Linked DNA regions of Nothobranchius furzeri. The main gene of each other region encodes a partner of the protein of the gene in region 6 in a complex. Links are inferred from orthologs where the notes say so. Each region holds a gene or a part of one and is shown on either strand. Other genes may lie near its edges. The genes, in order: nup205, cetn3, ranbp2, nup153, nup188, nup214 and nup160.

Region 1 (3,500 bases), on a different chromosome or scaffold from region 6:
GTCTCTGGCTGATCAGGCTCTGCTAGGAGACGTCTTCCTCTTTATGAAGGAAGGAATGTTGGGATGTGAGGGTTTTGTCCAGGAAGAGTTTTATATCCGCCGCCTCCATTCACTCATCACAGACTTCCTGGCCCTCATGCCAGTGAAGGTTAGAGGTTTCAACAGTGACATCATAGATTGTTGTCATCACGGAGGTTTGAATCATGCTTTAACAATCGCTTTAAACTGCAGGTGAAGCAGCTTCGTAATCGAGCCGACGAGGATGCCCGCCTGGTGCACATGTCCCTACAGATGGACGGTGAACTCCCGTCATCGTTGCGGAAGGATTTAGATCATCTCATGGTTCTGGTCAGTCGTCTTATCTAGCAAGTGTTGAGGATAGACTTAAGGAGCTGCAGCAAAGATGCAAGAAGTGAAACCTTTCTGTTGTTTGCGTTTGGAGTTTAAGCTTGTTGTGTTTGCTGTGTGTGGTTTCAGATCGGGGAGTTTTACAGTAACGATCCGTTTGGCTTGGAGCTGGGTTTGGAGTTCTGGTGTCCCACAGAGTCTCTCCAACACACCTCGCTGCAGGGGTCCTACCTGGGAATGGCCCTGCAGCGGCCTCCTCATAAACAGGTTGAACTTTCCTGACCTACAGAATTCGAGACAGCTGCACCATGACGCACTTTTGTGTGACTTTCTTTGTAAAGTGTTGTTGTTTTCAAATGCAGGTGGTTCTGTCCAAGTTTGTGCGTCAGATGGGAGACCTCCTGCCCTCCACCCTGTACCTTTCTTATCTCTGCATGCTGAAAGGCCTCGCTAATGGTCCACAGTGCGCTCATTACTGCTTCAGTCTTCTTAAAACAAACGGAGCTACACACAGTAAGAATGAACTGTTCTTCATGTAAACACATCACAGTATTTAGAGGAACAGTTATTTAGTAGAAATCCAAAAGGTCCATTTTTACAATAAAATAATCATTTTTATGATTTATTAAAATGAGTTTAGGCGACTTTAGTCCGATAATCGTCCTGAAACCGCTTGCTCTTAAACGCGTGAAGAATGGCTAAACGGGTTTGAGGTTAGCAGACTCTGGGCGCTGCTGTTGCTAAAGCTAAAAATCCTTGTGAATGTCTGCTAACCCTAACCCTACTCTGCTGTAGGCGACAACATCCAAGGAGTGTCGGGCAGCCCGGTGTCCTGGGAGCATTTTTTCCACTCCCTCATGCTTTACCACGAAAACCTGCGACGGGATCTCCCTAATGCAGACTCCTCCCACTACCGCCACCCGCCTCTCAGGGGCATCACACAGAGAGAGCTTGAAGGGCTGACTTCCTTTCTGCAGTTACTCACCACCATCATTTCCTGGGTACCGTACAACATGTGGTCATATTTTTAAAAGCTAACATAAAAGCAAAGTTTAAAAACTCTTATTATGTTTTTCTCTCAGAGTGAGAATGCTCGTCTGGCCTTGTGTGAACATCCCCAGTGGACCCCGGTGGTGGTGATGTTGGGGCTGCTGCAGTGCAGCATTCCACCCGTTTTAAAAGCTGAGCTCCTTCGGTCCCTGGCAGCCTTCGGGAAGTCACCAGAGATCGCCGCTTCCCTGTGGCAGTCGCTGGAGTACACCCAGGTAGAACCGAACCGTCTTCCACAGGGATGGAAAACGGTTCCTGGAGCCCTGAGATGAAACACACACACACACACACACACACACACACACACACACACACACACACACACACACACACACACACACACACACACACACACACACACACACACACACACACACACACACACACACACACACACACACACACACACACACACACACACACACACACACACACACGAGAAACCAAGCTTTAGGTTGCTTTAAGTATTTTTCTGTAAGAATTTTTATTTGTTTTTTGCTCTAGATCCTTCAGACAGTTCGAGCGCCGGGTCAGAGGCAGGCAGCAGGAATTGAGGTGGGTGTTTTTATTGTTGATGACAGATTTTCAATAAGAAATACTATTTGAATAATTATTACTTGATAAAAATGTAAAATCAGCTTTACTTGAGGGAGGTTTTTGGGGTTTTGTTAGATTTTTAACAGCTTCATTATAAACATTTATTATTATTTAGTTCTAAATCTTCCTTTTAACTAGACGGGACAGGTGACGGCAGTGTGTGTTTCAGGTTGAGCTGAATGAGATCGAGTCCAGCTGTGAGGAGTACCCTCTGACGCGAGCCTTCTGCCATCTGATCAGCACGCTGGTGGAGAGCAGTGTGCCTCTTAATCTGGGGGTGGGCCTTCGTGTCCCCGGCTTCCAGCCCTATCTGAACTTTCTGCGTGAGTCTGTGTTTCTTCCCTTTCCCACAAGAGCGTACCGCCGTCCCGCTGAGAAGGTAGCTATCTCTCTAGCCTTTAGCGAGCTGTCTGTTGTGTGTTTTATAACTAAAACAAGCGTTTATTCGTTTATTCCTCACGCGTCAGTGGGAGGTGGCCGACTCTGTCCTGGAGGTGTTCCACAAGCTGCTGCGGAGCTATGAGCCGCAGCCATCAGACTTCATCCAGGAGACGGTGGAGCTGCAGGGCGAGCAGGTCCCCGCTGACAAGCCCCCCGGCCACAGCATCATGTTCCACCTGCTGAACGACTCGCCCATGCTGGCTCTCTGCCTCAGCCTGCTGGAGGAAGGGGCTCGCCAGCTGGACACCTACGCACCCTTCCCTGGTGAGAATACAAATGGCGTTTATGTGCACGTTGCTATGACAACAGGGCTCGTAACTCCCCCGTCCATTACAGGTAAAAAGCACCTGGAGTCAGCTGTGCTGCACTGCCTCCAACTTCTGGACCTGACTCTGCAGAAGGAAGTGGTGTTCATGGATCTTCTCAGGGAGAGCCAGGCCTCCATGCTTGTGTCTCCGCTAGAGCAGCTCTTCCAGGGAGTCAGTCCTCAGACCCGACGAGCCGATCACATTGTCAACATTGCCAGGTTTGTGCATGCGTAATAATAATTGAGTTAGTTGTCATCCCGCAGCTCTGATGTCCTCCTGCAGGTATCTGTACCACAGCAGCTCCAACCCAGAAGCAGCTTTCCAGAGTGCTAAGATTCTGCGGCGCATCGCCACCTACCCCAACATCCACGTACGGCTGGTGGGAGATTTCACACACGACCAGGTATCTACTACCAGATGTGTTTCCTTTCAGGGTCCAGGTGTGTTTATTGTGTTTAAGCAAACGCGTCTGTGCTTCAGGCTGTGAGCGAGAAGCTTTTGGCCGGCTTTGTGGAGTGTCTGGATAATGAAGAGGCAGAAGAAGGACCAGAAAAGGAAGATGGTAACTTCTGGTCTGTTACTTGCACACCACTGGAGTACTAACAACTTTAAACTGATGAACCAAGGTTCTCAACCATCAGACTTGGACCAACAGAAGAAGATGGCAAGAATTCGACACGAAACCCAGATCCACATCCTGAATCTGCTCATCACCTCCTTGGAGCTGAAGGCACCTAATCTGGCTCTTTACCTTCT
Region 2 (4,011 bases), about 19 Mb from region 6:
TTATTAAAGTATGATGGTGCCGGGTCTGACGACTCTGGCTCTTTGGGAAATGACAAATGAGTAGGGTTGGCAAAACAATTTAAAAATAAATATGCCACATTTAACTAATAACTGCAACAGGTCAAATAGGATACGAGTGAAACAGATCTGATCTTCTGTGTTTTACTACATCACATTAACACGTTCCTAACGGAGCTTCAGACTCGTCTTCTACACAAACACACTCCATGAATAAAAGCTCGCTTCTTAAAGAAATGCCAGCAGGTCAGCATCATATTGACACTTCATGTCTACGAGAGGAACTGAGCAGTGTGAGCAGATGTTGGTCCAGACACGATCTGGTGCTTTTATTTATCAAACCAAGTCAGAACAAAGCTCCAGGCTCCTGATAAAGTCCAGTCCACCTCAGAAGCAAGAGAACAAGGCCCATATCTCCTCCCAATATGGGCAAAGAGTCCAACTTACAGATGGGGAAACCTCTTCATGGGTCTCTGGTCATGATGGAGAGGAACTCCTCCTGATTTACTGAAAAGAAGGGAAAAACACCTGGTCAGATCTACTGGATTTACCTGGAAAGCTTAGACGCAAGAATGAAAGAAAACAAACAAAAAGCGAAGCAGCAGTGGATTTTTGTTACTTTAACTGAACATGTTTACACATTGTCGTTAGTAAATCTATTTTGTTCCAGGGCAGCAGATGCCTGCTGACGTGACAGGATCTGGTCTAACAGTGAAAGCAACAATGTTAGGAACAATCATATAAATAATTAAAATGCCTGTGTGTGCCAGAAGATGCAGTGATGATGTTGGTATTGTTGCATCTGCGGCTCTAATCAGACACAAAATCACAACAAAAGAGAGACAGAGTTGCTCTCATCTCAGACTCCGGTCTTACTTTCTCCATCCCCGTCTGTGTCAAACTCGTCGATCATGCTGCGTAGCTCCTCGTCGCTGATGTTCTCCCCGAGTTCTCGAGCAACCCGTCTCAGGTTCCTCAGGCTGATCTTTCCTGACTCGTCATCGTCAAACAGCTTGAAAGCCTTCATGATCTCCTCTTTGGGATCTCGCTCCAAGATGCGATCCGTAACTGTTGAGGGGTAGGGAAAAGGTTTAGTAGCTAATGAAGCACCTCAAGCTATGAGGTAATACCAGAGCCGATGACCACCTTACCCACTTCGCTGAAATCCTCAAAGGTGATTTTCCCACTTCCCTCTCTGTCGTAATCCTTCAGAATCTTCAGAACATCCACTTTCTTCACTTCAAAACCGAGAGCGCGCATCGCCACCTGACAAGATGTTTAAATGTTGTTTTGGTTTGAATTCAGGATTAGAACAATTAGTAACTAGCACTAAAACAACAAATAAATGTTATTGCTGTAGAACGTTAGCTCCAATTCCCCTGGAGCTTTATTTCAGCAGGGTGCCTTCAGACATGGAAAACCCATTAGCGTTTCTCCAAAAGGTGATTAAATGGTATTTAGTTACTTTTACTTACATAATAATACATAAATACCTGGTGCTCCACATTCACAGCAGTTAAAGAAAAATAGGAATGATGAGGTTATAAAAGCATAACTTATATACGGCATTATTTCAGGCACAAAAACCATAAGGTAACCATAACAACCACCACTATGGCCCATTTTCTTACCTTCAGCTCGTGATAGTCAATCTCCTTATCTTTATCCGTGTCAAATAAGTCAAAAGCTTCTTTAATTTCATGCTTTTGGTCCTCGGTGAGCTCCCTCCTCTTCTTGCGCTTGGTTGTCTCAGCTGCAAGATCAGTTCTGCTGAAACAAACACACATGCAGTCTCACCTCAGACACTACCTGTATCACAGCCATGACTTATTAATGCATTAACCCATACACTTTGTTATCCAATGAGAACTAAACCATTTTCTGTAATGTTTATTGGGGTCTCTCTGATGACACAGGGTAGGCTAAAGGATCTTAAAAAAATCTACCTTATGCCTTGTTCTAAAAAAAATCAAAAGCAAAATAACCCAGAAGAACATCTAAAGCTTTGTAGGTCAAACTTGGTTAAGGTTTAAGGTCATGTGTCAACAATAAGGTAAACCTCATTCTCCAAAGCCTCTGCTGAACAACAACAACAACAACAAAAACAACCCACATTTACCAAAAACATTGGGAGGACCTCCAAAAGTCTGGGGGAAATTGTTTATTGACAGATGGAAAAAAACAAAACAAAACAAAAAACTAGTACATTCGGGTCCCCCACCGTTTCTCCGCCAGCTTCTTTGTAAACTGTTGTGTTTAGCAATATTATTTCAAGAAAATCCCTAAAAATATATATCTTAATCATTTGGTCATTGCTGTAGCTGTGAAATTCATCATGTTTAGTGAATATCACTAATTCTAATCTAATTCAGATTACGATACAATTAGATAATATTACTCAATTTACAGTTATACACAAGGGACTCGTTCCCTCATAAATGTCTTATCCTGATAAAAAAAATAACATCTACGCCTATAATTGTACAATTTGGCAGGACGAAATCATCTTGACGAGACAAGCGAAGGCGTACGTTTTTCAACTGGGGAACAAATCTCGACGTACCACCGGTTTCAACTGAACTGTAACAGCCACATCTCGCGACAAAAGGTTAGCTCCTTACCTTAGAGATAAACTCATTCCAGGTGAATTTATAAAACCTTTAAACCAAATGTTATTCTGAATGCTATGTGGCTACAGCTTCCAGCAAACACAACAAATCCGTTTATCCGCGCTCACACACCAGGAATCCTATTGGTCGCTGGTTGCCAGGCAGCAGTTAGGCGAGATCTGGTTGGTTAATGTTACTTCTTCAAGGCCGCTTACCCGGTCGTTGTCATTGCTCTATGCAGTCAATTAGAGCACTATTGCCACCTCGTGTTCATAACTGATACCACAGTCTATATTATACATATGGATGGATATACATATGCCCGGTATATATATATATATATATATATATATACACATACAAACCAATGATGAATCAAAAATATTCTGACACATCACCATTGCATAAAGAAGAAGAAAGGGCCTGTATATTATGTAAGGTACCTAAATTCTCCTAAAATTTTCAATATCTGGTGAATTTGGACATAGAGAATTATTCTAATGACTTCACGTGCTAATGTAACACTCACAAGGTCTTTATGAACCTCAAATCTTGATTTTGTTTTAAAAAAAATTTTGGGGTGGGGGGACACCCTCTCCACCAGCTGTTAAAGTCTCATACGTTCAAGCTGCTTTATAAAACTATTATTCCAAGCCCAGTTAAATCTTAACTTTCAGAAATTCTAAGCAGCCAGAGTTCAGAGTTGCCAAAAAGTGCTGCTTTTAGTTTTTGCCCACCAAAGAGTGCTCTTTCATAGGAAAAATCTTCTTTCTCTAAACTAAGTTGTGGATGTTCTAACATCGCCAGGACTTTTTGAGTGCCACAGGATTTTAATCTATAACAATGTAGTATGTTACCAGTAGTAACCTTTGTCACTGTGGTGCCAGCTCTCTTCAGGTCATTCACTAATTCCCCATATGTACTTCTGGACTGTTTCCTCACCATTCTCAAGATCATTTGTACCCCACAAGGTGAGATCTTACACAGAGCCACAGGTCGAGGAATACTGTCAGTGATTTTGTATTTATTCCAGTTTCTAATAATTGCTGCAACAGTTGATCTCTTCCCACCAAGTTGCTTACCTGTTGTGGATTTACTCAAGCCAATCTTGTGCAGGTGTACAATCCTGACACTGATGTCGTTTGTCAACTCTCTGGTCTTGGCCATGGTGGAGTCTGACTGACTGAAGGTGTAGACAGGTGTCTTTTATACAGATACCAGTTGCCACTAATTCAGTCAGCAAGTGGAGGATAGATAAGCTTCTTAAAGAAGAAGTAACAGGTATGTGAGGACCAGAATTATTGCACATATGTAGGCACTAAATATGTATCTTCTGCACCATGATACAAATAATTTCTTAGAAAATTTTACAGTGTGACTTCCA
Region 3 (4,124 bases), on a different chromosome or scaffold from region 6:
GTCCCTGAGGTCCAGTGATCAAAGCCTACTGGTTGTGCAGCACCAGGTTAAAGACCAAAGGTGACAGATCATTTGCTGCTGTGGCTCCCAGACTTTGGACCTCTCTCCCCCTGAGCCTGAGATCAGTGGACTCAGCGGTCTCCTTTAAAAAGCAGCTGAAGACTCACTTGTTCAAGCTGGCTTTTGTATGACCTTCTTCACCACTCTCTCTTTATTCTGCTCTCCCCACCTATTCCACCTTCCTCAGGATCCACTGATTTCCTTCTTTCCCATTCACTCTCTCTCTTTCTTAACATTTTTTCTTTTAAATCGCAACAGCTTATTCTTGCTCATTTTAAATATATTTTAAACATTTTCAAAATGCTTTTTTATATTTTTACAATTTTTATATTTTTTGTTTTTGTTTTTGTGAAGCGCCTCGTGATTTTTATCTTGAGAGGCGCTATAGAAATGATATTTTCTTCTTCAAAACCAAATTTGTCAAGAGACTGAAAAATGAAATTATGCTCAACTGTATCAAAGGCTTTGTAAAAGTCTAAAAACAAAATGAAACTGTTGTCTTGAACAAGCTCAGGGTAATTTAGGAGGTCTACAACAAGCCTAATATTATTGGTGATATGTCTGTTCTTCATAAAGCCTGACAGTGTGTCATCAATGATTGAGTGTAGAGTTGATTTTAACCTTTTAGCAAGAGTGACAGCAAGGATTTTATAATCATTATTGAGAAGACAGATAGGGCGCCAATTATCAATGAGCAATGGATATTTTTTGGGTTTAGGAATTAATATCGTTAGACCTTGAGTCAAGGTGGGTGGAAGGACACCTCTTCCAATACTTTCATTGAAAACCTCATACAAAAAGGGCTAAATCTTGGGATTACTCCTGCAGAATGTACAGACCCATGTGAAAACCAAATAGTATTATCCCATTGTGTTTTCCAAAAACTAGCATCCTTTACAGTAGAATGACTTTTTTGAAAGAAAAAAAAATCTGGTAACCCCCTGGCATTTAGAGAAAATAAAGAAAGCACGACAACAACAAAGAACACCAACAGTAAAGTTCAAATATTATTGAACAACCTGTGTTGAAAAGTGTATAAGATTGGACCACCGTAACTAGTTCCCAGCAAACCAATAAGTAAACTGCAACACCAACACATTAACTTGAAAATGTGTTAACATACCCATATTAGCGAGGCGGAGGTGGTCTCCCCCATGGTCTCCCCTCTGTTTTAAAATTCTGTGCGTCAGCGTGCGTCAACGGAATATTCGTTCCTTATTGGTTAAAAGATCGACCCACGTGACCTTTGCCTTTTGACGGGAACGACTCGAGACTGCGCACTACCATCGTGGGGAGTTAATGTGACGTAGGAGGAGAAATAAATATTGTGGATTTCGTTAACTCGTATTGTTTTATACGGTATCTTTGACTATTTTAGACTTCTTTGATTACTGCGGCCATGCGGCGGAGTAAGGCTGAAGTGGACCGTTACGTTTTCTCTGTACAGAGTTCCTCTCCTTCACTCAAAGAGGTAAATGGTTCCCCCTAGCTATCTGTTAGCATGCCGCTGCCATTAGCAGATTAACATGTGACATTCAACTGGTGTAAAAACTAAAATGGGACATGATGTAACTAGACGATTAGTGTAGTTCTTAGTTAGACGGTGTGTAAATAGTTTTTGCACTAACTGACTTTGGTTTAAGCCGTTAGCTTTCCCCGGCTGGTAGCGCTCTGCTAGCTTACCCGGCTTGTTTCGGTCGGGAAATGCGCGGTTTAGCTTTGGGAGACGGCATCAGCCTGTTAGCCTCCTCGCTGACAGCTTTATTCCACTCATGTTATTTTGGTGAGACGCGTAAATACATCCACCTGGATTCGCACATACAAATAAGTGAAAGTCTTCTTTAGGAGCCGTGTGGCACTGGGAGAGACCTGACCCTAGCAGATTCAGTGATTAAACTTTTATTCCATAATGATATCAGACATTATGTTGCTGTGAATGAAATGTTTCATTAAATCATTTCCCCATAACTACTGAGCAATGTCTTATATTTCATTAAAGTCTGACTTTACCGAACTTGTTATTTTTAATTTTAAAAATGGCCAAGAGGTGATGTCGGGATCTAGGAGCTGATATTCAGCATGTTTCCACTACATCGGCCTCTTAGAGCTGATTTTACAACGGGCACATCCGTGGGCAGACAAATTTTATCTAAATGAAAATGTTCCTGAAAAACATGTTCTAAAACGTTGACAACTGACATTTTAACCGGTTTTAGACTTAATACCAGGTCAGTCTATTGATTTGTCTGATTTATTTAGGCTAAATGCTTGATTTTGATGCTGAGCATTGAACAGAGTGTTGGTTAAATTCAGAGTTTAAAAACTGATTAGGTTAAGAAATGTTGCTGACATTAGTGACATTTTTGCGTGCAAATAATGAAAACAATGTCTAGCTATCACTCATGAAAAGAGGCCCCAAACATCAGCAGGACATATCGGCTATTGGCTGACTGTTACCTCAACATGTCGAACGCTCATTCAGAAATATCACCGGTGATGTGCTTTATTGTTCTGTTGTCCCCTACAGAAGCCAGTTAAGGGGTTTTTATTTGCCAAGTTGTACTTTGAGGCAAAAGAATATGAGCTTGCAAAAAGGTAAGGATGAACATCTCCACTGATTCCATCTTTAAAACATTTGTTGACATGTTTAATTCTCTTTCTAGGCATGTATCAGATTATCTCAAAGTACAGGAAAGGGATCCCAAAGCACACAAATTCCTCGGACAGCTCTATGAGCGAGATGGAGACATCAGCAAAGCAGTAGGATGTTACAAGGTAGAGGGAACTCTATTAGATAGCATTTTCTGATTGGTGTTTTTTATTGATCTTTAATGTTCTTGACCTCTACTCGCGCAGCGCTCAGTGGACTTGAACCCAGTGCAGAAGGACCTGGTGTTAAAGGTAGCCGAGTTACTTGTAAAGAAACATGAATGTGACAGCAGAGCAGAGTTTTGGGTGGAGAAAGCTGCAAAACTCATGCCTGGACACCCAGCAATCTACAACCTAAAGGTTTTTATTTTCTTTCTCCTTCATCTGAATTAAAACTTCTCTTTGTACTCTCCATGTCAGCTGAGAAGTGTTTGTTCTGTTGTGTACTTAACCAACAGCTGTCTGTTTCTTAGCCAGTTGTGTGTGTACTAATAAAAAGCTGAAGCCACACTGAGCTTTTTGTGCACCTGTCGTTGTTCAGGAGTCTCTGTTGAGTCGTCAGGGCCAGCAGGGCTGGAACCAGTTGTTCGACCTCCTCCAGGCTGAGCTGGCAGCACGGCCAGCTGATGCTCATGTGAATGTGAAGATGGTTCAGCTGTTCTGTCAAGATGGTCGGCTTGATGAGGCTGTTAAACATTGCCTGGCTGCTGAGAAAAGGGGCCTGCTGCGCAACAGTCTGGACTGGTACACCGTGGTGTTGACCACTCTGCAGGTCAGAACATCTTTTAAATATACTGGAAGTATAAATTAGCAGTTTTTATTTCTGTGCTTTGGACTTGTTTTATCATAATAAACCGCAATGTTTGAGTTGAGAATGAATCTGAAGAATGGATAGTTGTTGTTTCAGGAATATCTGGATCAACCCAGTGTTTCCAGTACTGAGAAGATGTATCGGCATCTCCAGAGAGAAATGTTGTTGACACGCTGCAGCCTGCTGAGGATTACACTGTCTGGAAGCGGAGTGCAGCCGAGCCTGGAGGCATTCAGGGGGTAGGTCAGGTTCTAGACAGTCTGTATATCGTGAGAAACTGTTCAGTTTAGTATATTCTGTATTTGCATGCATTTAATATGATTTTGATCACTGCACTCATTCTTTTTGTTTTGCAGTTTTGACCAAGCAATGCAAGAGCTGAGCAGCATTGCCAGTCGCCATGCAGATGAACTTTCTGAGGTGTTTGTGGAGATGAAAGGTCACCTGTACCTGCATGCCGCAACATTGCTGTTGAAACTGGTGCAGGACCGCCAACAAACCTGGAGGGCTGTTGTTGACCTGGTGGTGCTGTGCTACCTGCTAGCTTGTCAGGTACTTCCTGTGGTGTCTGTGTTGGTGCAAACTAGAGTTGTCACGGTAACCG
Region 4 (3,500 bases), on a different chromosome or scaffold from region 6:
TCTACTAGCTCCGCCCCCGAGATCACAGCTGTCACTCCTACTAAGGAAGCAGCCACAAATAAGGTTTGTCCTACATCTGCTTATTCCTACTTTTATTTTTAGAAGTGTAAAAGAACACTAGATAAAAATTTTTGTCCCCAACAAGGATCCACCGAAGGCGTCGACACCGCCCTGCGCACCGTTCACCTTTTCCTCCCCCATTGTCAAAGCAACTGCTGCCAGCCCACCTTCTTATTCCCCCTCCGTGAGTACATGCTTAAATTAACTCGTCAAATAGCCTGCTGTAAAAACACAGGTGATGCATGTTGTCTTGTTTCCTTGTAGACCGGATTTACTTTCAGCGCACCTGTAGCGAAGTTGGCTCCCTCTCTGTCCATGTCCAATGGAAATCTCGCCACACCCTCGGCACGACCAGGTGAAGGCGTTCGCCCACTCTTCATCTGTTCCTGATGGTCCACGGCAGGGGTGCCCAGTCCTGGTCCTGGAGGGCCGTTATCCAGCAGGTTTTAGTTTTAACTGCTTCAACACACCTGATTTCAATCAGCAGGTGATTAACAGGCTTCTGCAGAGCCTGATGAGATGCCGCACAGGTGATTCAACCAGTTAATCAAGTGTGTTGGAGCAGAAAAAACACAAAACCTGCTGGGAGACCGGCCCTCTAGGACCAGGACTGGGCTCCCCTGGTCTACGGTTACAGAGCATCTTGAGTGAGCTTCCATCTGTTTTCATGTGTTGCAGTGAAGTCAGTCGGAAGCAAGAGCACAGAAGAGTTTGAAGGACCTTTTAAACCAGCCAAGACGCTGAAGCAGGCCAGTGTGTTGGACCTCCTGAAGTCCCCTGGTAGGAACCTGTAGAATAATTTGTTTTTTGCGCTCTGAGGTCGGGCGGTAAGGAAAAATCTTTTCTAGCTGATATTGATCAGTCCAACAAATAACTGGTGATGTATTCACCCTCCAGAGCAATAATGGGCCCATATATGATTAAAATATTACCGTTGGAACCGCGGAGACATCAATTGTTCTAAAATATAACATTTTAGAGACTTTTTTCAACCTGAGCAACGTATCGTAGACCATGAAGAGGAAAAAGCTTTGGCGACACGCAGCAGTGGCTAACTGGCCCACTCCGTGATTGTAAAGTGCACGTTGTCGGATGTTAAAAGGCTAAAATACGTCCACACGACTGAACTGTTCGATCCCTTATTGTCGTTTGCTGTTTCCTCCGTCTTTTTCTTTTGGGGCGCAATTTTTTTTTTCTGTTTATATCATTCATGTCCCACCTGTTACCTGCGGTAAGAGGCTAACCTGTCTTCCCGCCAGGCATGAAAGCGGTGCAAAAAGGCAGCAAAATGTGCTATATGACAGTTAGCCACCATTTTAGTGAACGGTTTACTTTCTGTTGAAAGCAAAGTAACGTTTTGGACGCATCCCAGAAGCAAAGGGAAGCTTTCATGACGTCACAAGTCTATTTTTTTGCACGCTAAACTTCCAAAACACGTCAAACACCAGTTCAGATCGGGCCAGACAGGAAGTCAAACATGAAATCAGTGACAAACTTCAGAAAACTTTCAAAATAAAAGTCAGAACAGAAAATTAACCATACCGTTTTGTGTACATGGAGCCGTCTTGCTCCTCGCTATTGTGTGGACTTCTGAAATCGCGCATGGGGTTGGAATTCTCTCGTGATTTTGCGATCTCGCGGGATCGGCTGTGTCTGAATGGCTCCCAGTCGGAGGGGAGCTCGAGGGTGAAACGCCGCTGCTTTCACATCTGGTGGAAAGCTGGGGTAAAGCTACACAAACATTAGCTGTTAGCGTGTCAGTCTGTCTGCCGTGTGATTGGTCCAGCCGGGTGCAGCACTTAATATGATTGGCTATCACATCTATGGAGGAAATGTTCAAACGGATATTGCTTTCGTTCTACTGCCCAGCCCTACTTGTGGAGGACGCTATTTGGACTTTAGTGGATAAAGACGAGTTTTGTTTCAGATGGTTGTTTTCTGTCAGTGATTAGCGGCTTTGAACCGTATGTTGGACATAATTTCAAATGTAGTTTGACAAAGGTGGTTGTATCCGTGATTGGCACTAAAATCCCAGATTTCTGTATGTGTACAAAGAGAATGTGGCAAGAGGACCCTGATTTTTCTTGGAAGTATAGAATATCTCATCCTCAGGACTTATAAAAATATTATCTTTAAAAACGATCGGTGCAGGAGGTCAATCGCCCGGCCTTTTTGTGCGTATTTTAATAAAAATGTTTTTATCTTAACGCTCCGTTTCCCCTCTCTAGGTTTTGCTTCTCCCGTTGCTCCGAACTCCTCAGACCCAAACGTTGCTCCACAGCAAACACCGACGCCTCCCGCAGCACCCGTCTCAACGGCCACAACCTCCTCCTCCTCCTCCCTGCCTGCTCCTACAGAGTTTGTTAGTTTACCGAAGGCCCCTGCGGGTTGGAGCTGTGACGAATGCTTGGTTCAGAACAAGAAGTCGGACACAAAATGTGTTTGCTGTGCGGCTTCAAAACCAAACAATTCACCTAAATCCACGGAGGGCAAACCGTCAAACGACAGTGCTGTGGGGCTGGAGAGCATCAGCACGAGCGCCGCTGTGACCACGACGGGGTTCAGTCCCATCTTTTCTAAGCCTGCAGGAACCTGGGAATGCGATACGTGCATGATCTCAAACAAACCAGATGTGGTGAAGTGTGTGGCCTGTGAAACGGCCAAACCCGGGACGGGGCTCAAACCCTCTCTCACCTTTTCTTCTGCCTTCTCAACTGTTAAGACTGCACCCGCTCCCACAACCCCCATTTCCACAGGCATCAGTGGATTTGGAGATATATTCCAAAAACCCGAGGGCTCGTGGGAATGCCAAACGTGTTTGGTACAAAACAAGGCGGAGGACACTAAATGCGTGGCTTGCAAAGAAGCTAAACCGGGTAATGGCAGCATGGTGTTTTGATATTTACTTTGTTTTTACTCCACTTTCTTATTGAGGCATGTTCTTACTGAGCATCCTTTTTATGTTCAAATCGTTAACAGGAGCTACAGCGGAGGCTGCCTCATCAACCAGCAGCGCCCCAGTGTTTGGATTTGGAGACAAGTTCAAGAAACCAGAGGGATCCTGGGACTGTGACGTTTGTCTGGTGCAGAATAAAGCTGCTGATGTGAAGTGTGTTGCCTGTCAGACGGCCAAACCTGGAGCTAAGGTGGAGCCTAAAGGTACCTAAAGGCTGTTGGGATGAATAGCTTATCAGAACGGGGAAAAAGGATTATTTTTACAGCGATCCTAGAATTTAAAACCACATTAATGTTAATTGTTGACGGCTTGAGTTATGAAATGTACCAAAAACCTGCTTTCCTGTGTAAATTTTGTCTGTAGCGGCAACCTAGAGACGATTCATTCTGAGAAGAGCTGATTACTCAGTTTTCCTTTTTTAAGACAAACATTTTGCAGGTTTAAAGAGCAAGTCACCCCCAAATCACATTTTTTTTTTTGCTGA
Region 5 (3,999 bases), about 4.0 Mb from region 6:
GCTTCTTGTTTATACCGATGTAAAACTCTCTTGTGAATACATTTCACATAATACATTTCCTCATTTTGATCTTGGCAAATGGTCAAAACTTCACCATTTATTTCCACAGGTGGGAGTAACTTAACTATATACGTGTTGGTTAAACTTTCAATTCTGGTACCGAGGGCTATTTTAAAACTGCTCGACATGTTTCTGAAAGCTTGTCTAGCTGCGTGCTATTCTGCTCGATCTGCTAATGTAAAGTAACTGTATATGACGTCACGTCTGCGAATTTATGCACTTTGAGGCGCATGCGCATTCTAATTAATTGTAACCATCTGGAGATGATCTGTCAAGTAGCTCCACTCTGAGGCGCATGCGCATTCTAATTAATTGTAAGCACCTGGAGATTAGCCAGCTGTCAAACAGCTCCGTCTGCGTGTCGGCGGTCACGTGGTTAATGTTTTCCTCTTCCAAACAGCTCAGCGCTGCCAGCGTCTTCTGGCAGAACTGGATGCTGAAGCCATCATTTTCCCATTTCTACAGTAATATTTTGGTGATTTTTGACAATAAAGTGTATTGATTACTGTAACCGGCAGCTGTCTGTTTCGCTTTATATAGAGGAGCGCTGCCGCTGCAGCGTCCTTGACAAGCCAGACAGCCATTCTAGATATTTATAGTTGTTCCTAGCAGTAATTAACATCCACACCAACTATTCAGAACGACTATTTCAGATATCTGGAATGTAACTCCTAATTCCGTTTCTTCTTTCTACAATGTTCATTCTTGACAGGAAGTCTGTAATTGTGGAAGCGCTGTAGAAGCCAATAAACATGAATGGGAAATGTGATGTCATTTGTTACATTTCACATATCTAAAAAAAACGGTCATGCTGGACAGTAGAAATGTTCTCGTGGATATCTGGAATTTTAATTTCTACTAGGAACAATACAACACATATCCAGTCTGCTTAATGTTAAAACGAGATATCTGAAATAAGTGAAACCAGTTTTAAAATAAAAGAAAATGTATTCAGTGATAAGTAAACAGAACACCTAAATATGAATTCAAACAAAAAATGAAAATTGAAAATGAACAGCAAAAGTGCCTCAGTAAAGTAAAATTTAAAACAAACCTGCTGCAAGGAACTGAAATTAAACGTTTTGTTCAGAGGAGGGCAGTAAAGCATCATTAAGCACAAGTCCAATTCACGAAGAAGAAAGTTTCCGTTTGTAAAGACGTCAGACACTTTACTAACCAATCACAGGGCAGAATCTAAGATGGCGGAATCGGAGATGAGTGTCAGGTAGAAACATAAGCGACTAACTAACATTTATTGTTAATAAATAGTTAAGAGACGTTGATAATGAGTAAATCTGGCTACAGCCCGTGTTCATTTATTAAATCACAACTGTGGCAACAGAGTCATTTAACAGTCTGTTTTAAAAAGAATTAGCACCATGCTCGTATAGCTTAGCATGTGCTAGCAGCTAAACATTTCAAAAGGTTTTTGTAGCGCGGCGCTACCTCACATGTCAACAACAGTCAGAGCTGTTGTCAGCCAGGGAGATTTTTCTGGCAGAGATAGAAAACGCGTGCTGATGTCAAAATTATTACGTCTTGTAGTAAAAGAGGCTAGTCTATTGAAGCTAAACCCATCATTTAGACACGATGGAAAAGACCGTCTTAAGTTGGAATTATTTTAACGGACAGATTTTCTAAAATGAACCCAACAGAACCTTAAACCAATCGTAGTAAATAAACTGTATTATTTAACAGTTTTACCATAAATAAAAGGCTTATTGAGGAACATTAGAGGACATTTAAAAACTGCTGAATCTGTCAGACCGGTGTTGAGAAAAAACTTATGGGATTTCAAAGAGGCAGATTGACAAAGTTGTTTTATATCAAAGCTGGTACAGAAACACGATTTAAGAGAATTTAGTTCAAGGTTTTAAGGAAAAACAATAAAGCATTTTAATTCTGTATCAACCTTTGTATTTAAGGCAGTCAGTGAGGATGTTTGAAGTGTGTGTAGTGGTTCCATTCATATTTAGTTGTATTGTTCTTGGTGATTCAGTACAGTGCATTAGCTCAGCATTCTCTACAATCTGACCTTGATGATCATTTGGGTTTGAATTTCAGTTTTCTTTAAACACAAACTAAATCTCTCTTATTGTGTTTTAAATGCATTGGGTGGGTGCATGTGCAACATGCGTTTGACAAACAAAGATATGTATAACCTGATTGACAAACTTCACATCTAATTGAGGCATAAGGAGTCCGGGCAGGTCTACAGTTTTGCCCAGGACACATTTATGTTTTATCAGTTAAATGCATCTGAGGTCACTCACAAATGCAGCCTGTCAAGTCAAATTTGCATATTGTAGTATTTTCCTTGTAGTGGATCTGCATCATATCTCATTTATTAAAGGTTATTGATTTGCTGACTTTCACCTCTCTTCTCCTCTTAGGAGCTGTAGAGAGTTATGGACCATTTTGCTGGGGAAGTCTGCTCTGAGAGAATCGGTATGTCCTCCTCACTCAAAGAGAGCGTATGCTGAACTTGACCATCCAAAATTTTAGACAATTTATCCATAAGTAATTTCCTGGTTTAACTCATGCTATTCTAACTTCTATATAAACACACACACACACACACACACACACACACACACACACACACACACACACACACACACACACACATTTGTATTTTTGGTGCAGGCTCAAATAGAGGGAGAGCTTGACAAGCACTGGGACAGACTGCATCAGGGACTCAGTTACTACAAGCCACCCAGGTATAATTACATCAAGGTATTTTCACATCAGATACATGAATAAATGAGTAACTATTAGCTTCACCTCCCGTAGTTCATCCTCCGCTGCGAAAGTTAAGGAAAACAAAGATGTTGCACAGCCCCTGAAAGACTTTGGTCTGAGGATTAGTAAACTGCTGGTAAGCATTTAGATCTTTTTATGTCACAGAGGGTGGATTCTTACGTTTTCATGACTGCTGGTTCATAAGGGATTGTTGTAATAATGTTTTAGAATCTTGATGAGCAGCAGAGTGTGCAGCTTTTACAGTGCTATCTGCAGGAGGACTACAGAGGAACTCGTGATTCTTTAAAGGTGTTTGCTTTCAACTTTTTTTGTTCTATAACTTACTAGAAAAACAAAAATCCACTGGTACTAAATCATAGGTCTGAAGAGATTTAACAGTAGTTTCTGTGACAGGTTGTTCTCAACGAGGAACGGAAGAGTCAGGCTCTTCTCCTAAAGGTATGCACCCAAACTAGCATTACGTCACTTCTGTGCCATTTTCCAATCATTTCTGTTTTTACTAGTGTTGTTAATTTTTTTACAGATCGCTGATTATTACTATGAGGAGCGCATGTGTCTGCTCAGATGTGTCCTGCTGCTGCTGACATACTTCCAGGATGAGCGACACCCCTATCGGGTGAGACATATTTCTTTTTTTAAATGCATTTCTTCCTGATGTGATGTTTTTTTGTGTAAATAATCCTTGTTTTTTTTTTGTCAAGGCCGAGTACAGTAACTGTGTCAACAAGTTGGAGAAGGACCTGGTGAACAGCTATCAGTCACAGTTTGAGAACCTCTTCAAGGCTGAAGCACCAACATGGGAAACCCATGGCAACCTCATGGTAAACACTGGGTTTATTTTTACAGCAGCGTACTGTAGCCCCGTCTGCTTCCTTACACTCTTCTTCTCGTTTGCAAGACGGAGAGACAAGTCTCACGGTGGTTCCTGCAGTGTCTGAGGGAACAGTCTCTGCTGTTGGAGATCATCTTCCTGTATTATGCATACTTTGAGATGAGCCCACCCGACCTTGTAAAATTCACCAAAATGTTCAAAGAGCAAGGCTTTGGGTTGCGTCAGACTAACAGACACCTGGTGGACAAGAGCATGGACGTGCTGGTTGACCGGATCGGGTAAGGTCACCTCACTGACTTTGTATTTATGTGTTAAAATTGGATGAATGTATTTATTATTGTAAG
Region 6 (3,500 bases):
GAAAAAATGCTTTAAATTCAACGTTTAAACTCGACAGTTTCAATATTTTTATTAGAAATGAAACTGGGTGCACACACACTTTTAACCTTCCTCCTCCTGGTTCTCCTCAGCAGGTGGATTTGGCAACGCTCCGGTGTTTGGGAGCCCTCCTTCTTTCGGTGGTACCCCAGCTTTTGGGGGCGGAGCCGCCTTTGGCTCCAGCCCGTCTTTCAGCAACCCCATGGGTCCCTCCGCTAGCAAAGTGTTTGGTGAGGGAACTGCAGCGTCCAACATGGGAGGATTTGGGTAAGAGCAGAAATAAAACTACTTCTGAAGAGTAGATCGGTGCTGACTGGGCAGTTCCCATGTAAAGAAGTTTGATATGGAAGTCATTCTCATGGAACTCTGTGCATCCATTTCCAGTTTAAATACCAGGAAAGCTGCATTTGATCTATTCTGTTTCTGTTGTGGTGATTCGGCATGTGTTTTGATTGCAGCGAGTTTGGCTCAGAGCCTAAAACTATGGATCTCTGCAGGAGTAGATTATTCCCCTCAGATAATCCCACTCTGGGGTCATGCTGCCTGCAGATTAAACTGGCCTGCTCTCTCTACTTCTCCCACTGTTTTGCTTAACCTCTTCTCTCTCTCTCTCTCTCTCTCTCTCGCTCTCTCTCTCTCGGTGGGCCTGATTCCTGTGGAAGGATCTAATTCCTGCTCATATCCCCGCCTTTAAATCTCATATATTCACGTCTTCTGCCTCGCTGACATGTTTGCTTGAAGCAGAACATAATCCCTGCTCTTGTCTGTATAGATTACAGATTTTATGTTGTCATGCATTTAGGCTCATTTATGTTTTAACCAGACCATGTTTCTGAAACGCAACACACTACTCGTGTTTGCCTCTGTGTCCAGGTTCGCTTCAGCCCCCAGTGGCCCTTCCTTTGGATCCATAGCCAATCAGAGCGGCCCGTCCTTTGGGAGCTTGGCCCAGCAGGGTCCTGGATTTGGAAGTCAGCCCAGCAGCTTCTCAGGCTTTGGACAGCAGCCACAGCCCGGAGGTGAGACGTCTACCTCACAAAAGGAGGGAAAGTTTGGCTACAAAGGAAATTTGGAACAAAACTTAAAACCAGCCTTTTAGTTTTGATTATTATGTTTGCTGTTTACATCTCTTACTTTCCCTCAGAAGAGATTTATGTGAACGGTTCGTGTTTAAGTAAATGCTGCTGTTGCTTATATACGGTTTGTGTTTTTTATTTCATAGTTTTCACTGCAAACACCTTTGGATCACCTGCAAACCAGTAAGTGTGAATTCATATTTTGGTTGAGCACGGATGAGTGGCTGCACGTGTGCGGCACGTTGTCATGCCTGTAGGGTTTCCACGCTTCCGCAACGCTGCTCCCTGCTTTAATACCTCATCTAACCTCGTTTCTGTCCCTGTCCTCGCCTTTGTCTTCAGTTTAGACTCACTTCCACCATTTGGCTGAACTCGTGCACATTTTCTGTTTTAAGTGTTTGGATACAAATTTAAATTCAGTTTGTTTATTTATATAGCACCAAATCACAACCAGAGTCGTCTCAAGGCACTTCACACAGTAAACATTCCAACGCAGGTCAGGTCATAAAGCCAGTCAGTAAAAAGTTTCCTATATAAGGAACCCAGCAAAATGCATCGGGTCGCTGACTAGTGTCAGTGACTTTACAGCAATCCTCATACTAAGCACGCATGCAGCGACAGTGGAGAGGAAAACTCCTTTTTAACAGGAAGAAACTTAAATAGGTTGTTTTTAGAACAAATCGTCATTAGATTAGCTTTTTTATCCTGATGCATCTTCATTTTTATGGACTTTCCTCTTGATGTTTTCCCTCCGTTGGCCAGTGTGAGTCACATGGTTCAGCATCATGACCCTTTATCTCAGGGGTGGGCAATTAATTTTTACAAGGGGCCACATGACAAAACCCGAGTTGCATCGGAGGGCCACATTAACGACATCTTGAACCCAAGTTGGCTTAACTTTCTTAAATAGTAAAATTCACTAAATTATATATCACAAATAGCTGGTACTGGTAATCAGAAGAATACAACTAAAATAAAATAATGCAAATATTTACATTGGGCTATGCTATGTGAAACTGTGGCGCATATTCCAAATAAAACAAAAACAACCGCAACCACCGAATCAATGTCATTTTATTTTAACATGTTTAACTCAACAAACAAGAAGTTTATAGAAATGCAACAATACAATGACTTGTGTTATGTTTTCTTCAGTGAGAAATAAGTGAGTTTTTCAGTGAGAATAATCCAGCCTGTTTTGGTTTTGAACAAGGGCATTGAAATCTGGCTGAATGGCTGAGGTGGCTATGCGAAGAACAGCTGAGAGGTGGTCATCAGTGACAGAGGACCTGTGTTTGGATTTGTTGAACTTCATCACCGAGAATGTCTGTTCACAAACATAGGTAGATCCAAAGAGAACTAGCATCCTCTGAGCATGATTCCTCAGGTGTGGAAAGTTCTCTTCTTTGAGGGAGGAATAAAAGTCCAGCAGTGAGACTGACCTGAAGTGCTCTGCCAGAAGTGTGTCAGACTGCAGGTCGATGAGTTCCATCTGAACATCACTTGAAGCATTATCCACACTGCAGGTGAAGGGAGAAGAAACCATGTTCATTTCATTTTCAAGAGCTTTGAAATCTTGAAATCGCCTTGAAAACTCTGCATGCAGTACTTCTAACTTGGCTGAGTACTTGTGGAGGTGATTGGCATTTGGAATAGCCTCCTTTAGTGTTGGCAAGTGGGTCAGAAAGTTGTCCTTCACTTGGCTTGAGATAAACTGCAACTTCCTCATGAAAGCCTTTACTGCACTGTACATCTCATGCACAAAAAGTCCCCTGCACTGCAGTTTGACATTTAGTTGGTTCATTAGTGCAGTCACATCCACAGCAAATCCGAGGTCTGCCACCCAATCTTCATCTGAAAGCTCTGGGACGGCATGTCCTTTCTTCACACAAAAATCCTGAATCTGTTCTCTCAGATCCCAGACACTTTTCAGTACCTTGCTTAGGCTGAGCCACCTGACAGAGCAGTGGTAGCTGATGTCACCATGTTCCATCTCATTTTCCTCCAAAAGAGCAATAAACTGTCTGTGATTTAATGCTCTTGCTCTGATGAAGTTAACAGTTTTAGTTACAACATCAACAACGTGGTCCATCTTTAACACTGTCTTACACAACACTTCCTGATGTATAATACAATGCAAAAATGTCAATTTCTGCACAGGATTAATTTCTGTTACTTTATCCTGCATTCTCTTTAAAAGTCCTACATTTTTTCCAGTCAGATTTGGACAACCATCTGTTGTTACACCTGCCAGATTGTCCCATTTCAGTCCTAATTTTTCCAAACATGCATTTACCTCTATGAATAAGTCATTGCCGGTTGTTGTTCCTTTCATTGACTGCATGGCAGCCAGCTCCTCCGTGACTTGAAAGTCTGTAGTTATTCCACGTAAAAAGATGAGAAGCT
Region 7 (3,500 bases), on a different chromosome or scaffold from region 6:
TGTTTTGGTTTTAAAGACGCGTTCAAGTCATTTAGAACAGAGGGAAGACCTGCACCTAACTCTGCTTCAGACGCCATGTTTGAGAAAATGAGCAACATGGTGTGTGACGTACGCTGCTCAGCGCTGATTGGCTCAGTTAGAATTCTCAGGGGGCGGGGTTATTTGAATACAAGAGTTCCCAGCTGGTCAGGCTAAAACTCTGTGTGAACAAGGTTTCAGTGATGTGTGCAAATACACACGACCTACACAAGGTGCACAACTACCTGCAATAGCTGCAGATGGTGGGTGGTGCTGTGCAAGAGAGAGGCGGGCCCGAGACAGAAAGTACTCCCTCTCCAGATCATTCAGCTCCAGAATGTCCACCCGATGTCTACCTGCAGCTGGAGACACACAGTAGCGAAAAAAAGAAAACAATCGTTTTTGTAGCGCCTCTCAAGATAAAAATCGCACGGTGCATCATGAGAACAAAATTCAAAAATATTTTAAATGAATTAAAATATCATAAACATGATAAAATTTTATTTTGTGATAAAAATGTGAGTTAAAAGAAAGAGAAGACAGAGGTAATCAGTAGATCCCAAGAAAGGCAGAATTGGTAGAAAGAGCAGAACAAGGAGAGTTCCAGAGTCTGGGGGCCACAGCAGCAGATGATCTGTCACCTTTGACCTTTAACCTGGTGCTACACAACCAGTAGGCTTTGGTCACTGGACCTCAGGGACCTGCTGGAGGTGTAGGGACTGAGAAGATCACCAATGTAAGATGGTGCTTGTCCATGTAAGGCCCTATAGACCAGAACCAGGATCTTGAAATGAACCCTGAAGTTGACTGGCAGCCAGTGAAGCTGGAGGAGAAGCGGGGTGATGTGGGTGTGTTTGGAGGACAGATCATATCTAGAGGTGGTGATAGGGTCCAAAGAATAATAATAATTCTGAAGATACAACAAAGTACACATAAAAGTATCATCATCCGTTACTCCTTTGGCAGTAAAATATATTACTTTTCTGATTGTTACATCAGTATTCATTAAAAACATAAGTCTAAGTTAAAAACGCATTACTTGTCACACACACTGATGTGTGTGCTAAATTTGTTCTCTGCATTTGGTCCATCACCTGGGGGAGCGGTGAGCTGCAGCTGTGGCTGTGCTCGGGAACCATTTGGTGGTTTAACCCCCAACCCAACCCATTAATGCTGAGCAGGGAGGCATTGGGTCCCATTTTTAAAGTCTTTGGTATGACCTGATCGGGATTAGAACCCTGATCTCCCAGACTCAGGGTGGACACTCCACCATTAGGCCACTGAGCTGGTGTAGTTAAGTAATTACACCAGCTGTAATCATTTACTGAAAGGTGAGGCAGGATGATATCAGAGAGACGACAGGGAGAGAGATTGGGGCTGCCCATGTCGCGCCTTTACCTCACACCAGCAGCATCTCACCTGGTGGAGCAGAAAACTCTCCATCAGAATTCCTCTTTGGAGACGCTCCAGGTCGCTCATACTGCAGCAGATCAACACATCGTTATCAACACAGCTGTGTGTGTGTGTGTGTGTGTGTGTGTGTGTGTGTGTGTGTGTGTGTGTGTGTGTGTGTGTGTGTGTGTGTGTGTGTGTGTGCGTGTGTGTAGCATACCGTGCTCCCTGATGCTGGCTGAACAATCCAGGCGTACTCACTCCTGATGAGGCGGAGACAGTTAAGAGCAGCCAGGTAACAGTTCACCTGTTTCTGAAGGCCAAGCTGCGTACGAATCTCCCGGCCCAGACGCATCCCAAACTCAAACATGACGGTCCCCGCTGAGTGAACACGGATACACACACTATGCAGTCGCACACACGTATAATTAGGTGGAATTTGCATGTTTGCTTTGGCACCTTTCCTGTAGTTGTGTCGGGTAATGTGGAAGGCGTACAGAAGCTCGTAGTAATTGTGGGTCAGCAGATCCAAACTACGAGCACGGGACTCGATGATGCTGACTACCTGAAGGTCCCGTGAGAAGGTAAATATTACATTTTTAGAAATAAACACATGCAACAAAACAACTGCAGAGAAGAAAATCTGTTCAGGCTTTGCCAGACTGTGGATGAATGAAACCCATCCAGCCATCCATTTTCATCCGATTATCCGGAGTCGGGTCGCGGGGGCAGCAGCCTAAGGCGAGAGGCCCAGACTTCCCTCTCCCCAGCCACTTGGGCCAGCTCCTCCGGGGGAATCCCAAGGTGTTCCCTGGTCCGGTGAGAGACATAGTCCCTCCACCGTGTCCTGGGTCTACTTTAGGTCTCCTCCCAGTTGGACGTGCCCAGAAAACCTCACCAGGGAGGCGTCCAGGAGGCATCCTAACCAGATGCCCGAGCCACCTCAACTGGCTCCTCTCGATCTGGAGGAGCAGCAGGTCTACTCCGAGCCCCTCCCGAATGACCGAGCTTCTCACCCTATCTCTAAGGGAGAGCCCAGCCACTCTTTGGAGAAAACTCATTTCGGCCGCTTGTATCCGCGAACTCATTCTATCGGTCACTACCCAAAGCTCATGACCATAGGTGAGGGTAGGAACGTAGATCCACCGGTAAATCGAGAGCTTTGCCTTCTGACTCAGCTCTCTCTTCACCACGACAGGCCGGTACAACGCCCGCATCACTGCAGACACAGCACCAATCAATCTGCCTATCGATCTAATGAAACCGTTAGGGTTAAAGATATCCACCCAAGCACTACGCCCCAGCTCCCCATCAGGCCCAGTGGTGATCAGCTCCAGACCTGCCTCAGAGGTGGAGCCTTTATACCGACCAGTCAGAACTTCCACATGGACCCATTTACAGACAAACAATAACATGCATAGGTTACAAGTGTGTTTGGACTGTTTCCGATACATAAAGATACCATGGTAACGGTAAAGGTACTGTGGTAATGGTAAAGATACCATGATAATGGTAATGTAAGGTAAAGATACCACGGTAAAGGTAAAGATATTATGGTAATGGTAAAGATACCATGATAATGGTAATGTAAGGTAAAGATACCACGGTAAAGGTAAAGATATTATGGTAATGGTAAAGATACCATGATAATGGTAATGTAAGGTAAAGATACCACGGTAAAGGTAAAGATATTATGGTAATGGTAAAGATACCATGGGAAAGGAAAAGGTACCATGGTAATGGTAAATATACCACAGTAATGTAATGGTAAAGGTAAAGATACCATGGTCATGGTAATGTAATGTAAAGGTAAATATACTATGGTAATGGTAAAGATATCATGGTAAAGGTAAAGATGCCATACGATGAACAACTGCAGGAAATAAAAGATTTTCAGTCAGGGCTCACCTCATCATGCAGGTGGACGTAGGGAAACTGGACTAAATCCTGCAGCTGAGAGCGTTCACACAGAACCACCACCAGCTGGCGAAGACAATCCAGCTGCCTGGAACACAAACAAGCATTCAGCTGAAACATCACCGGAGGATCAGTCTGAATATTTACAGATCAGATGTGTGAGAATCTGTCCG

The links.
Region 1: nup214 (region 6) and nup205 share a complex: the UniProt entries of both Homo sapiens proteins name them as parts of the nuclear pore complex. The link is inferred for Nothobranchius furzeri from reciprocal best matches to the Homo sapiens genes NUP214 and NUP205.
Region 2: nup214 (region 6) and cetn3 share a complex: the UniProt entries of both Homo sapiens proteins name them as parts of the nuclear pore complex. The link is inferred for Nothobranchius furzeri from reciprocal best matches to the Homo sapiens genes NUP214 and CETN3.
Region 3: nup214 (region 6) and ranbp2 share a complex: the UniProt entries of both Homo sapiens proteins name them as parts of the nuclear pore complex. The link is inferred for Nothobranchius furzeri from reciprocal best matches to the Homo sapiens genes NUP214 and RANBP2.
Region 4: nup214 (region 6) and nup153 share a complex: the UniProt entries of both Homo sapiens proteins name them as parts of the nuclear pore complex. The link is inferred for Nothobranchius furzeri from reciprocal best matches to the Homo sapiens genes NUP214 and NUP153.
Region 5: nup214 (region 6) and nup188 share a complex: the UniProt entries of both Homo sapiens proteins name them as parts of the nuclear pore complex. The link is inferred for Nothobranchius furzeri from reciprocal best matches to the Homo sapiens genes NUP214 and NUP188.
Region 7: nup214 (region 6) and nup160 share a complex: the UniProt entries of both Homo sapiens proteins name them as parts of the nuclear pore complex. The link is inferred for Nothobranchius furzeri from reciprocal best matches to the Homo sapiens genes NUP214 and NUP160.

The regions. Positions count from the first base shown.
Region 1 is NC_091744.1:88,200,816-88,204,315, forward strand, and holds part of nup205 (nuclear pore complex protein Nup205), read left to right. Parts: coding exon 1-148; intron 149-231; coding exon 232-348; intron 349-477; coding exon 478-615; intron 616-710; coding exon 711-861; intron 862-1,143; coding exon 1,144-1,349; intron 1,350-1,430; coding exon 1,431-1,613; intron 1,614-1,902; coding exon 1,903-1,953; intron 1,954-2,164; coding exon 2,165-2,374; intron 2,375-2,462; coding exon 2,463-2,700; intron 2,701-2,772; coding exon 2,773-2,962; intron 2,963-3,026; coding exon 3,027-3,147; intron 3,148-3,224; coding exon 3,225-3,306; intron 3,307-3,370; coding exon 3,371-3,500. UniProt on the Homo sapiens protein: Plays a role in the nuclear pore complex (NPC) assembly and/or maintenance. May anchor NUP62 and other nucleoporins, but not NUP153 and TPR, to the NPC.
Region 2 is NC_091746.1:37,904,279-37,908,289, reverse strand, and holds the start of cetn3 (centrin-3), read right to left. Parts: upstream 2,801-4,011; 5' UTR 2,657-2,800; coding exon 2,640-2,656; intron 1,789-2,639; coding exon 1,650-1,788; intron 1,285-1,649; coding exon 1,170-1,284; intron 1,087-1,169; coding exon 895-1,086; intron 526-894; coding exon 482-525; 3' UTR 1-481. UniProt on the Homo sapiens protein: Plays a fundamental role in microtubule-organizing center structure and function. As a component of the TREX-2 complex, involved in the export of mRNAs to the cytoplasm through the nuclear pores.
Region 3 is NC_091747.1:23,210,481-23,214,604, forward strand, and holds the start of ranbp2 (E3 SUMO-protein ligase RanBP2), read left to right. Parts: upstream 1-1,324; 5' UTR 1,325-1,459; coding exon 1,460-1,531; intron 1,532-2,587; coding exon 2,588-2,655; intron 2,656-2,723; coding exon 2,724-2,835; intron 2,836-2,916; coding exon 2,917-3,069; intron 3,070-3,250; coding exon 3,251-3,481; intron 3,482-3,604; coding exon 3,605-3,759; intron 3,760-3,876; coding exon 3,877-4,072; intron 4,073-4,124. UniProt on the Homo sapiens protein: E3 SUMO-protein ligase which facilitates SUMO1 and SUMO2 conjugation by UBE2I. Involved in transport factor (Ran-GTP, karyopherin)-mediated protein import via the F-G repeat-containing domain which acts as a docking site for substrates.
Region 4 is NC_091759.1:94,286-97,785, reverse strand, and holds part of nup153 (nuclear pore complex protein Nup153), read left to right. Parts: coding exon 1-63; intron 64-145; coding exon 146-244; intron 245-324; coding exon 325-415; intron 416-738; coding exon 739-840; intron 841-2,288; coding exon 2,289-2,936; intron 2,937-3,039; coding exon 3,040-3,219; intron 3,220-3,500. UniProt on the Homo sapiens protein: Component of the nuclear pore complex (NPC), a complex required for the trafficking across the nuclear envelope. Functions as a scaffolding element in the nuclear phase of the NPC essential for normal nucleocytoplasmic transport of proteins and mRNAs.
Region 5 is NC_091746.1:61,212,051-61,216,049, reverse strand, and holds the start of nup188 (nucleoporin NUP188), read left to right. Parts: upstream 1-1,199; 5' UTR 1,200-1,259; coding exon 1,260-1,285; intron 1,286-2,453; coding exon 2,454-2,508; intron 2,509-2,706; coding exon 2,707-2,780; intron 2,781-2,853; coding exon 2,854-2,938; intron 2,939-3,030; coding exon 3,031-3,111; intron 3,112-3,216; coding exon 3,217-3,261; intron 3,262-3,346; coding exon 3,347-3,439; intron 3,440-3,524; coding exon 3,525-3,644; intron 3,645-3,721; coding exon 3,722-3,933; intron 3,934-3,999. UniProt on the Homo sapiens protein: Component of the nuclear pore complex (NPC), a complex required for the trafficking across the nuclear envelope. Required for proper protein transport into the nucleus.
Region 6 is NC_091746.1:57,218,654-57,222,153, forward strand, and holds part of nup214 (nuclear pore complex protein Nup214), read left to right. Parts: intron 1-110; coding exon 111-285; intron 286-891; coding exon 892-1,037; intron 1,038-1,240; coding exon 1,241-1,277; intron 1,278-2,041; exon of another isoform or gene 2,042-2,268; coding exon of another isoform or gene 2,269-3,500. Other genes in the region: general transcription factor II-I repeat domain-containing protein 2B-like, read right to left, coding at 2,269-3,500. UniProt on the Homo sapiens protein: Part of the nuclear pore complex. Has a critical role in nucleocytoplasmic transport.
Region 7 is NC_091744.1:79,813,594-79,817,093, forward strand, and holds part of nup160 (nuclear pore complex protein Nup160), read right to left. Parts: intron 3,416-3,500; coding exon 3,319-3,415; intron 1,976-3,318; coding exon 1,870-1,975; intron 1,792-1,869; coding exon 1,631-1,791; intron 1,499-1,630; coding exon 1,438-1,498; intron 381-1,437; coding exon 264-380; intron 1-263. UniProt on the Homo sapiens protein: Functions as a component of the nuclear pore complex (NPC). Involved in poly(A)+ RNA transport.